Coturnix japonica: one gene and its partners. The protein of the gene in region 2 purifies or fractionates together with the protein of the main gene of each other region. This does not show direct contact. Links are inferred from orthologs where the notes say so. Each region holds a gene or a part of one and is shown on either strand. Other genes may lie near its edges.

Region 1 (4,198 bases), on a different chromosome or scaffold from region 2:
TTGGTCCTGCATGGGAGCTGCTGCCTGGTCCTGGCCCTGCAGGGAGAGCGAGTGAGCAAAGGAGCTGCTGCATCCTTAGGGGTAGGAGCAGCTACTGTAACTTCTTTTTTTTTTTTTTAAGTTAAAGACAAAAGAAGCCTTGGGGGGAGGAAAAAAAAAAAAAAAAAAAAAAGGAAAAAAAAAAAAAAAAAAAAAAAAAAAAAAAAAAAAAAAAAAGAAAATGACTTTATTTTTCTAAGTGTTAAACTCAGTATTTATGTAATACTTTAAGGAATAAAAGTTTGGCTCCTGTACAGTTTTCATGGGGTTTGTACCGGGGGGATGGGAGAGGGGTGGGTGGGCGTGGAGGCAGGAAGGGGCCTTGCTTTTGAGTTTGTATTGTAACCTTGGACATGTTCCCTCCACGTTAGCGTTTAACTGTGCTGTCTGCTGGGATGTCCCGGCCCTCCCTGGGAGATGAGGGGCTGTCAGCAGCCTATCTCTGCTCTCCCTGCCCATAGTGCAGGTGGCACCTCCTGAACTCCCAGCTGAGGGGCTGGGCTGGAGTTTCCCCCTCCACAGCCTCAGCTTGTGCTGTTTTTTAGCGCACGGATGTGGCCGGGTTCCTTCCATGACCTCTGCAGAGAGCTTGGGGTGTGCGTTAACCTTGCCCCAAGCCCGTTACCAGGGCTGTGCTTTGCTCTGCTTTGCTCGTGCTGGCCCTATGGGGCTGCGATGGCAGTGCCCTGCTGGGCATCTCCTCCCTTCCTCCCCAAAGGCAACCGCTGGTTAAACGCTAATGGTGTCTTTTATTTAAGTGCAGACTTGTAAGAACACTCGTGTATCAGGGACGAAACGGCATTTATTGTGTGGTGACATTTTTAATTCATTTTACTGGTTTGAGGGTTGTGTGTGTGCGTGCATGTGTGCGGGTGTGTGTGTGCGTGCATAGGTGTGTGTGTGTGCGTGTGGGATTCTTTTTTCCCCTCCAGTTTCCAGGGTCGTGTATCTGGAAGGATGTGGAAGTTAATCACAGTACTATGTACAGAGCTTTCTTTTGTATGGGAAAAAAAAAAAAAAAAAGAATAAATTACTCTTTCAATAAATGTTATCATTTTGTGCACAGAGCTGGAGTCTTGTCCGTGTTTTGCAGGTGGAGGGGCATTAGGGAATATACAGCCAATGAATGGGGAACTTGGGTAGACCCTACTGCACAGCCCTTCTACTGTACAGCCCCCTATTGTACAGCCCCCTACTGCACAGCCCTTCTACTATCGTACAGCCCCCTACTGCCCAGCCCCGGCTGCAGGCGGTGCCATCTCCCCGCCCCGCCCGGCGGCATCGCGCAGGCGCCTGGCGGAGCATTGCCGGACACGGAAGCGGCTCTGATCCGTCCCTCCGGTCTCGGTGGGGCCAGGCCCGGAGCCGGAGCGGCGGGCGGAGGTGAGCGGGGCGGCCCGGAGGCGGAGCTGGGCCGCGTGGTGAGCAGAGCGGCCTGCGGGCATCGGGCTGCTCCGGGAAGGGCGGGGAGAACGAGGGAAGGTGTGCGGGGATGGGGAGCAACGTGTGTAGGTGACTCTTGTTGGTTCCAGTGCGACAGCGAGAGGCAGCGTCTGCATGAAGCCTTGAGCTCTGCGTGACCTTGCAGTCAGCGCTCAGACACTGAATAACAAGGGCGAAAGCAGGAGTGCAGGAGCAGTGATTTGTGCAGGGTGTCGCTGGGAGATGCTGACCCGCTCCCTTCTGTTCCCTTAGCGCCGTCCGGCACGATGGTGAAGGACGGGCAGGAGGGCGGGCTGCTGGTGCAGCTGGGCCCGCAGCTGCAGGCCTACCCGCACGAGCTGCTGCGGCAGCGGCGCGGCCCCGACGGCGCCCCGGAGTACCTGGTGCGGTGGCGCGTGGTCGGCGCGGAGGAGCGGGCGGCGGGAGGCGGCGGCGGCTCCTCCGCGGGGCTCCGCTCGGAGAGCGTGGCCACGTGGCTGTCGGCGGAGGAGGTCCGCGCCGGCTGCCCGGCGCTGCTGGGCGGGGGGGAGCGGGCGGGGCCGCGGGCGAAGGAGGAGAGGGCGCCCGGCCCGCCGCCCGCGCCGCCGGACGAGGCCTCGCTGCTGGAGATGAAGGCCGACGTCGGGAGCCTGGTGCGGCGAGCCGGGCGGCAGCTGGCCGGCGGCGGGACCCCCGCGGCCTCCGTCCTCCACACCGTCCGCGTGCTGAGCGCCTACGCCGGCATCGGCGCGCTGGCGGGCGCCTTCAAGGAGACGGGAGCCCTGGAGCTGCTGACGGAGATGCTGTGCCACCGGGAGAAGCCGATCTGCCGCGGCGCCGCGGAGATGCTGAGGGCTCTGGCGCTGCACGACGCAGGTGGGGGCTGCTGCGCAGGGCGCCGGGCCTTTGGGAGCAGCGGGGCCGAGCGGGGCTGGTGGCTCCGTGCTGTCATTGGCCTGGAGCCGCTCCTCTGCCCTGCTGATCTTCCAAGGTCTGTCTGATGCAAGGAGGATGGTATCAGAGTGCTCATTAGGGTACCTGAATGGTCTGTTATTGTTACAGGGATTCGGGCCTATATCCTTCTGTCTCTGAGCCAGCAGGATGGCATTGAGCAGCACATGGACTTTGACGGCCGTTACACCTTGCTGGAGCTGTTTGCTGAGATGATGTCCTCTGAGGAGCACTGCGTGTCCTTTGAGGGGATCCATCTCCCCCAGGTAGTGGCAAGGCCTGCCAGCTCTGGAATGGGCAGAAATGAGAGTGGGGCCCTAGAGCTGGCTGGTGTCCTGCTTGCTGGAGATAGAAGGGTAGTTGACAGTAGGCAGCTGAGCAGGACCTGGTATTGCGAGGGCTGGCACAGGGTCTGGTGCGGTGAGGAAGCAGGAGGAGAGCCTGCCTGTGGGCAGGGTGGGCCGAGGGGGGCTGTGTTGCTGCCTGCTGGTACGCAGCCATTGCAGAGCCATGGATGGGCTGGTGAGGGCGTGAGCTGCTCGTCCAGCTGCAGTCTGACGGTGCTGCCTGTTGCAGATCCCCGGGAAGCAGCTGTTTGCCCTGGTGAAGCGCTACCTGTGCGTCACTTCTCTGCTGGACAAGCTGAGCGGCGGCGAGGAGCAGAGCGAGGAGTGGCAGGAGAGCAGCCGTGTAAAGCAGGAGTTTGAGTTCAGCATGGCTATGGCAAACCTCATCTTGGAGCTGTTGCGCGTCATGGGCTGGGACCACAGCCACAAGCCGGAGCCACCGGCCCAGCAGGAGATGAAGCCTCGCCCCACCCGCTCCATCTTCCAGCCTGCAACCCCAGCCTGCCTTGCCAACCGAGTGCCTGTGCTCTCTTCAAACTATGGTTGCCAGAAAAAGCAAAATTGTGTCTTCTTGACCCCATCAGACTTTGCTGACCAGAATGGCTACGTGGAGTATTTGAAGGCAAACCTGGTGCATGGCATGCGGGTGCGCATGCTGGAGGACTGTGGTGATGTTAGAGCTGGGGATGAGGGCAAGTTTCTTCAGAGCTGTTATAAGATGCGCACGGCACAGGTAGGTCACTAGTGGAAGAATTCTGGCTGGGATGGCAGAGGGGAGTAACAGGTGGCCTGATCACTTGATAATGTCTCTGAATAACAGCAATCCTTCCCAGCTGTGCCTTCTGGCAGATTACTTGGCATCTTGCTTCACTTTCAGTTGTGTCACCTTCCAGATCTGCGTCCCTCTTCCCCCTGTTGCTTTACTTTCTCCTGTTCACATATATTGCAGCAAAACATGTCCTCAGTTTTGGACCATGCAGAGATGATTTTTTCATTGTGGGTCCCCTGTACTCAATAACTGCTTTGTGTCTTGTTTTATTTTATAGGGGATGGTAAACCTGCTCTGTAACGCCTTTAACAGTGCCATCCATAAGGAGATAGCCAAAGGAAATATCTTTCAGAGAAATCTTTATTCACTGTTGTGCTGAAGTGAATTCCACTGCACTTAGTCTATTTGGCCCACCAGTTCCCCCTTTTGTTTATTTTTCTACCTGATTAAGCTGAATGAACCTCCCATTGCTTATTTTATGTTGGTTGATTGCTTTGTTTGTTTTTGCAATTGCTTTGCATTCAGCTAAAGCCTTTTCTAAGGCTTGTGTTACTGGCAAAACTAGATCTGAAAGGTAATCAACATTCAGTGAAGAAGTTTTTTAGCATTTACATTTTCACGTCCATGATTTCAGCCTCTATAAGTACTGCTTGCCCATCGATCTCTAGGA
Region 2 (3,626 bases):
AACTGTTGCATGGATTAATTAGAGCTGTGCAATGAAAGAGAAGCTTGTCTGTGAGACCTTTGCTTCTTTTATTGCAGAACTTTTAAGATGCGCAGTGATGGAGGCAGAGATTACCAGAATATGATAGAAAGGTTAAGATAGTTAAGGCTGCTCTGAAAAACGGGCTTTTATCCCTGCCTTTCCCATTGGGCACAGTCCGAAAACATTTATTATGCTAATTATGAATTACTTTTTCTTTGTTTTCTCAAGAAATCCACTTCTGCTCTTTGTGGAATTGGTTAATGAGTACTGTGGCTAAGGTCGGTAAAGATGCATTTAAGTACGTGACATCTGATGTAATTCTTATTCTCCAGAATGTCAGGCCTTGGATATTTGGTTTGGACAGCAGTGGAAGGATGGATTAACCTCTGCTTCTCTATAATTCATACAGTAGAAATTACATTAACTCTTAATCCACACAGATGTGTTGGGGAAAAGAACACACGTAGTTGTGAAGTTCTCCAGTGTCTTCCTGCTGTGAGTTGCTGGAAAGGCCATACAGAACAATTCTAACTTTAAAACAGGCCTTGCCTTTGGCAGGTGAACATCATGTTGCATAGTGTTAATAGTCAGAGAGCAAAATACTGAGTACTCTGTGAAAAACAAAAGTCTTGTGGCATAATGTGGTCGGGAGGCCATTATTATTCACAGCATCTATAGGTAATGGAGCCAGATTAGGTTTTGCAGTGTGACTTTTGTGAAGTGTTTTGCTAATTTTTGAGTGCTTGACTTTGCTGTCTTAGCACTTTTCTGACAGTTTGTTTTTCCCATAAGGTTTTTTATTTGTGTATGTATCATAAATATTAACAAAATATTTATAGTGATTTCTACATATCCTACTTAGGGTATTTTACTGTAAAGACTGTTTAAGCTTTGTAATTTATTAAACATACAGATTTTTAAAGGCAATGAAGTGAAATCTAACTTTCTTTTTTAGGGCATTTTGCTGGATATGAGAGAATTAATGCCACTAGTGTTTTTACATCATAAAAGGAGAAGATCATACTGGGAGAATCAGGAGTTTGAGGACGTAGAGCAAAAGAATTCTGCAGATTCTTTGGCATGTCTGTCATACCTGATGTTTGTTCAGCATTTTGGTATCAATTGCTTACCAGTGGTATTTAGGTAAGAGCTGTTCTTCCTCACTTACATTAAGTTTGCACTTGGAAACTTCTGAACAAAATAAAACTATTTTATTCTTAATAGCCATTAATGAAAACTGTATTTCACCAATTTTAGTTTTGTGGCAGCTTTATGTAGTTCAGCAGTTCTGCAGATTACTACAGTTTGATTGTAGATGAGTTGACCTTTTAAATAAACTGATAGGATTAGTCTTACACTGAAAATTAATTTGTATTACAATTATGTAGACAGATGCCAGATATGAATTATAAACAGAAATTGGATGTTGTGCTTTGCACCTATCTCAGAACTTTTAGTTTTGTAAATACACTTCTATAGGTTTTTCCAGAAGGACTAATGCTTTCAAATGGATTAGCTGTGAAAATGCTTATGCACTTTAATATAGACCTAACTTTCTTTTTTAGTTCTTCGTACCTTCTGCAGTGCAATATGACACATATAGAAGTGCTGCTGAAAAGGTAGGATTATATGATATTTGGAGCTCCAGATAGTAGAGGGAAATTTTTGTCCTATGTTTTATTTCTGGTCTTTTCTAATAATTCATAGAATCAAATTCTGATTATGCCAAATAAGTTCAAAGGTGATCCTTAAAGCTGTCAGTTAAAATTGCAAGCTCTGTGACAAGGTGATATTCTCTTTTTCTAAGAGCTTTAGCAAATTGTCTAAAACACACATCTATTCTTTTTAGAAAATTTATTCAGGAGTTCAAAATTAAGGTAGAATAATTAGTGTATATTTATTTGTAGTTCTGTATACTCTCTAGGAGTATAAGATTGTGTATCATATCAGAATACATTCAGGTAAGCACTATCTGATTAGAGGTCTGTCTTTCTAGAGGAAACCAAGCTTCTCTGTATGTTTATTTTGCCTTCCATTAGTAGCAATGTTGACCAAATATTTTCTAGCATTGCTGTAGAAGGGAGAAGTTTCTGATTATGACTCCTTATTATTTCCTAGTAAAACAAAACTTCTTGGCCTCTTCTTTTTAGGATTTGGTGTGTTTTTCTTTGTCTCACAGAGCTATCTCTGCACATAGAACAATTTGGAACAAGTTTTATTTTCGTTGTTAATTAATATCTTGATACCTGTGGGATATGAGCTGCTACCTCACAGATATTAAGACGGGAAAACAACTAAGCAGTTCTTACCCTAAAGAAAGGAGTCTAATTTGCAGCTTTTATTAATTATATATACTCAATATATTGTAAAAGGTTTTTGAGAGACTAAAAGAAGACATCGTGTTTAGAAATCAGAATGAAAATGGTTAACAGCCAAGTTACTTCTTGTAATCTACTATTTCACATCAAAGATCATTATTGTCTCCTTAATTTACAACTTGATGTCTTTTTCTTTACAGAACAGAAGAATCTATGCTATCTAAAGGACTTGTAAGTTTACTTTTCCTTTGATCACATGTTCATTGTTAGAATGCTGATTATTTTCAATTTTAGTATTGTAAAACCTTAGTTTCTCTTTCTTAGAAAGGTATGAATTTTTTTCATACCTTTTCAGTTTCAGAAGTATTTTGAGGCTTAGATGTTCTTCAGTCTTACAACCATTTAAAATAATTTACTGAACATTACACACATTTGCATACATGTAAACTACCATTACTACTTAAATTTGTAGCTCCTGGGAGATCCAAATATGTGAATTGTACTAAAGGTAGTTCTATCTATGAAATATTAAGCATACAGATCAATGTCTTGTATATATGCAAAGTGTTTGTTTTTCCTTCCCACCTTCAGGATCTGTTTGAGAGCTGTTTATTGAGAGTGGAAGATAATGGCCTTCTTCATCAGTATTTGGAATTCAGAGAATTTATTAATGTGCCTCAGGTAACAAGAAGCAGTGTACAGAACTGCCTTTGTAGTTGATAATAAACCATACCCAGTTGTTTTCTAAGCGCTGGAGGGAGGATGTGCTACTGAACCTTCATGCAGTTGTGTTGCCAGACTGAAACCTACAGTGTCATGCTGTACTGAATTGCATGCTACACTGAATTGTTTATCCTCTGATACACACTGCGGCATGAAGTTATAATGACAAATTATACTTTAGGTGGCTCTTGCTACTTCAGCTGCTTTTTTATTTGGATTCAACTGTTAGTGGCCTGGCTTGTTTGTTAATACCTTGATCAGATTTTGTTCAAAGTGATGTAATAATGTGCACGTAATTACAGTTTCTTTGTCTAACTGCAGGATTTGGTGAAAGTTATGACCCTTTGTCCCATAGAGCATCTGGTATGTAATGTGACCTACAGAATGATTTATGTACTGAGTTTAATTAGAATGAATCATATAATGTTATTTTTGTTATTATTAGCGTTTAATACATATATGATTGTTTTTTTAGAGAAAGAAGAGTTTGAGTATTTTGCAATTGTTCATAGATAAATTTGAAGCAGAGGGAAAATATACATTATTCAGGTATGCATTCAAATT
Region 3 (4,144 bases), on a different chromosome or scaffold from region 2:
TCAGTGGGTATCTGTAAATCTCCGCTTTGTGGGCAGCAGAGCTGCCACGAGCTCATCGCTGCTCACACAACAGAGGGGAACGTGGTCTCATTTCCTTCCAGGCTGAAAAAAACAACACATTTGCTCCTGTTTGCACACCAAAACACAGCCTGCAGGCCACGGAACAAACTTAACTGGGCTCTGCTGCTGCATCCCTGCTGCACCACATCCCCATGCATGAGGAGCACATGTCACTATAGCATGGGGTAAGCAAGGGATTTCCCGTACGCCAGGTCTCTTCCAAGTTAGAGTTTTCTTCTGGATAAATTCAGGAAAGAACATTAGATTTTGATAAAGACATCTCAGTGCTTGTAACAGAGGGCTTTCTGCAGTGCACCGGTTCCTTTCAGCCAGGTGAGCCTCAACTGCAGCAGCTCTCCAGTAATAGGGGGCTCTATTTCATCACTTACATCCTCAGCAGCATTTTGAGAGCACAGAGTGAAATCCCAGAACATCAATCCATGCACACCTGTATGGGGCACAGACCTCCACCTCTGCCTGCACAAAGCAGTGCTCAGGTGAAGGTGCAGTCAGATGCAAGGAAGCTTCTGCAAGAGCAGGTTCTGAGGACCTCTGCTGAGCTACACACGCATGCAAATGTGCACAACTACACGTGCATGCACAATGTGCACAGCCACTTATGCATACAAATGCATACCCCACGTGTGCACAACCACGTGTGCAACCACACACCAGTATGCACAAACCAGTGATGCACACACCAACAGTGCACACTGCGCTGACAGCCAGAAACACTGTTATTGGCAACCAAGACAACACTGCCAAGGGCTAGTTTGATTTAATTAAGCAACTAACGTAAATTTTAAAAACTCCTTGAAGTGGGAATACCTTTAATTAGGGCAATTCTCCACAAGCAGCACTACTGTTTGCGAGCAGCTCCTTCACAGAGCTCCGGAGATTCCCCACTTTGCAGAACACACCACTAGCAGCACCTTACCCCCAATTTCTGCAGCTCCTAAGCAGGTCTGCTCCTATCTGGGCAGTGTTTCCCGGTGTTCTCCCTGTGCTGGGGGTTAAAGATTGACACAAGGCGCTATGCAGGTGCCCAGGGATGCTTTTGGAATGCATCTCCCCACCTCCTTGCAGCACACAGACTCCCGTGGTAACTAGCATAGAAAGTGACTAGCCGAGAAGCAGTGGCACAGCTCAGAGCTCAGCAAAGCCTTTATCAGCACCGAACAATGGGGTGGAAGCATTGGCCAAACTTGAGACCGCCTCTCCCTGGGCTCATCTAGCAGCTAATTATCCTTGAGGAACTAACAAAGGTGGGCAGGCCCGGGTGTCCAGGTGGAGCACCTCCAAGCTTCCTAGTGAGCCTTCTCCTTTGCTTGGCTGCAATTAAAACCCACCTAATTGCACAGGGGCGTTCTCAGCAGGGTGGTTTGGGGTCTGCTGTCTAGAAATCTCGGGTGCTGCTCTCCCCCTGCTCACAGGGAACTGACCCCAGTCCCTCCTCGTCCCAAGGGGAGGGGACCTCACGGGAACATGCAGCCCGTGTCCTGCGGGTTCCCCAGCACCGGGTCCCATGTGTGGCCACCTCCAGGGCCCTGTTATGGCTGCCCCATGGCCACCTCTGGAGCCAAACCACAGCCATCACAGAGGCTTCTTCCAGCACCACCTCCAGGCTCACCCCATGGCTGCATCCAGAGCCACTCCCTACTATCTCACCATCGGGTGCACTTTTCCCTCCCAGGGTTCCAGCAGCTATCACTATCTCCAGCACCTCCACAGAAACCTACATTCCTCCTCCTGCCCCATATTTCCTCCTCCCACCCCATATCTTCTACTCCCACTCTATTTTCTCCCTGCTTTCTCCCACATCCTGGCCCACCAAGGCAGTGTAATGTCACACGATGGGGTCCAGGACTCACACGGCATCCCCTGCCACAGCACCACGGGGACACTGACTTGGCTCAACCCTGGGTTACCCCTTACAGTTTGTAACTCCCATAGGTCAGAACAGCCAGGGGACAGCTGGGGTGACAGCAGCACATCCTGCCAGGTGTGGGTTGGGTGAAAAAACAAACACAAAATCCAGATGATTTGGGAGACCCACACCACTACAGGCAGAGGAAACAGTGGGATCTGAACCAGACGCCCCATTTACTTTGTCCACGCTGCTGCACCTGCCCTGAATAAAACTGCACGTTGCTGCCTGCACTCGGGGGTATTTTTGGTCAATGCCATTAGGAAACTCATTAAATCCTCACCGCGCAGCAGCCTCATTTTCTGACTGAGAATAAATCCCCTCTTTGGACACTGCAGTACCGACGGGCCTCGGTCCTCATCCCAACTGTAATCCTGGTCCCAATCTTAATACCGATCCTAATCCCAATCCTGATTCCAGCCCCAATCGCAATCCTAATCCCGGTCCCAGTCGCCAGACGAACCCCAATCCCGATCCTAATCTCAAACTCGATCTCAGTCCGACTCCGGTTCTGCCGCGAGGGATGCGCTGCTCCGTGGGCACGAGCGGAGCGCACCCAAAGGCGCAGCGCTACGGACCTCAGTCCCTCCCTCGCCCCCTCCGTGGGCGTAACGCTCCGTTCCCCCCTCTCCACACTCCACAACCGACACGGCTCGGCCCCACGCGTGATGCTGCTCCCATCACCCCCATCCCGGCCCCACGCGTGATGCTGCTCCCATCACCCCCATCCCAGCCCCACCTGCTGCCGCCCGCGCTCCGCCACCGCTCGGCTCCGAAGTGGCATCGCGCGCCCGCGCCGGCCGGGTTTCCCCGTCGCTTCGCCCCGCCCCTCTCCCCATCTCCCATTGGTAGCTTCGTCCGCCCGTCTGCTCCACACCGCCCGCAACGCTTTCTCATTGGCCGGAGTGGAGGCGGTATGCAAATCAGAGCTTTTCCCCGCCCCGCGGTGTGACCCGCTGATCCCGGCTCCTGCTCCGAGACGTTTCCAATCACTGCGTTTCTCTCCACCAGGTAGTGAGTGTGAGTGTGAGTGTGAGTGTGAGTGTGAGTGTGAGTGTGAGTGTGAGTGTGAGTGTGAGTGTGTGGGGCATCACTGACACAGCTGCACCTCGTGCAGGATCCCGCGCTGAAGCCAACATCCTACAAAGCTGCAGCTGTGGGGGCTGCGTTGGGCTGCGCGTGACTGCGGCGCTCCATTTGTTCACGTGCAGAGAAAACTAAACGTGTACGAGACTTTGCATTGGAGCAGGGCACCGGGGTGTCTGTACCAGAGCCCTTCCAGCGGCTGTAGCAGCAGCGCGGCGTGGGGGGGCTCAGTCCTCCCCCAGCCCAACTTTGCAATTGGTGTTTGTAAGGAAATTCGATGTTAGAAGAGCACGAGCTGACGTCAACTTCCCCATGCCAGGAAATGCACGGTGCAGCCCTGTCCTCGCCTCACCCGCCCGCAGTGCCTGGGTGTTGTAGCACAGCGTTACGCAAGATCCCGCTGCGCTGGGCTGGGAGCGGAGCTGCAGCCCCCAGCAGTGACATGGGGCGCAGGGAGGTGATGGCAGGATTGGGGCCCACAGGAGACAGCCGTGGGCATAGGAAGAGTGGGGACGTGCTGCAGCGTGGCACTGCAACAGGGGGAAGTCTTGCATGGTTTGGGTGCAAAGCCCTGGTGCTGGGTGTGTTGCTCCCTCCCACTCCCCCCCAGTGCCTGCCCCATCCCAGGAGGAAATCTGCTCCTCTGGAGCAAAATTCCAGGAATAATCTCTGAAGGCTCCGCACAGCTGCCAGGGCACTGCTTGTCCCTCGTCAGTCATCCTTCTGGCATATGGCTGTCCCTGGTGGGGACAGGGATCAGGGTGAAGCCTTGAGCTTGGGCACCCCAAGTGATAGCTGGGCATGCTGACACCTGGGTACCCTTGGGGTGACAACCTGGGGATGTGCTCCCACACCATGTACAGTGTGAGGGCAAAGCCTTCTGCCCAAAGGTAGGAAAAAGGAAAAAGGGGAAGGGGAAGGAAAAAGGAGAGGAGAGGGAGAGGGAGAGGGAGAGGAGCTCATCCCCTGCTCCCTCCCTCCTGCAAACCGCAACACCTCTGAGCCCAGCACACCGTTGCTCCCTGAGTCCTTCCTGCAGCAATGGAGACACCAAACTGAGCCCCTTGCCCC

Evidence for each region.
Region 1: the proteins of GLMN (region 2) and cullin-9-like purify together in Homo sapiens (affinity purification with mass spectrometry; 3 studies listed by BioGRID and IntAct, counting the BioPlex papers as one, with this or other methods). This does not show direct contact. The link is inferred for Coturnix japonica from reciprocal best matches to the Homo sapiens genes GLMN and CUL9.
Region 3: the proteins of GLMN (region 2) and FKBP5 purify together in Homo sapiens (affinity purification with mass spectrometry; 3 studies listed by BioGRID and IntAct, with this or other methods). This does not show direct contact. The link is inferred for Coturnix japonica from reciprocal best matches to the Homo sapiens genes GLMN and FKBP5.

Annotation. Positions count from the first base shown.
Region 1 is NC_029518.1:3,479,243-3,483,440, reverse strand, and holds the start of cullin-9-like, read left to right. Parts: upstream 1-1,320; 5' UTR 1,321-1,422; intron 1,423-1,734; 5' UTR 1,735-1,748; coding exon 1,749-2,337; intron 2,338-2,523; coding exon 2,524-2,678; intron 2,679-2,988; coding exon 2,989-3,492; intron 3,493-4,198. UniProt on the Homo sapiens protein: Core component of a Cul9-RING ubiquitin-protein ligase complex composed of CUL9 and RBX1. The CUL9-RBX1 complex mediates ubiquitination and subsequent degradation of BIRC5 and is required to maintain microtubule dynamics and genome integrity.
Region 2 is NC_029523.1:12,319,444-12,323,069, forward strand, and holds part of GLMN (glomulin), read left to right. Parts: intron 1-976; coding exon 977-1,164; intron 1,165-1,586; coding exon 1,587-1,640; intron 1,641-2,539; coding exon 2,540-2,570; intron 2,571-2,930; coding exon 2,931-3,020; intron 3,021-3,383; coding exon 3,384-3,425; intron 3,426-3,537; coding exon 3,538-3,611; intron 3,612-3,626.
Region 3 is NC_029541.1:463,416-467,559, forward strand, and holds the start of FKBP5 (peptidyl-prolyl cis-trans isomerase FKBP5), read right to left. Parts: upstream 2,833-4,144; 5' UTR 2,772-2,832; coding exon 2,727-2,771; intron 1,067-2,726; exon of another isoform or gene 889-1,066; intron 1-888. UniProt on the Homo sapiens protein: Immunophilin protein with PPIase and co-chaperone activities. Component of unligated steroid receptors heterocomplexes through interaction with heat-shock protein 90 (HSP90).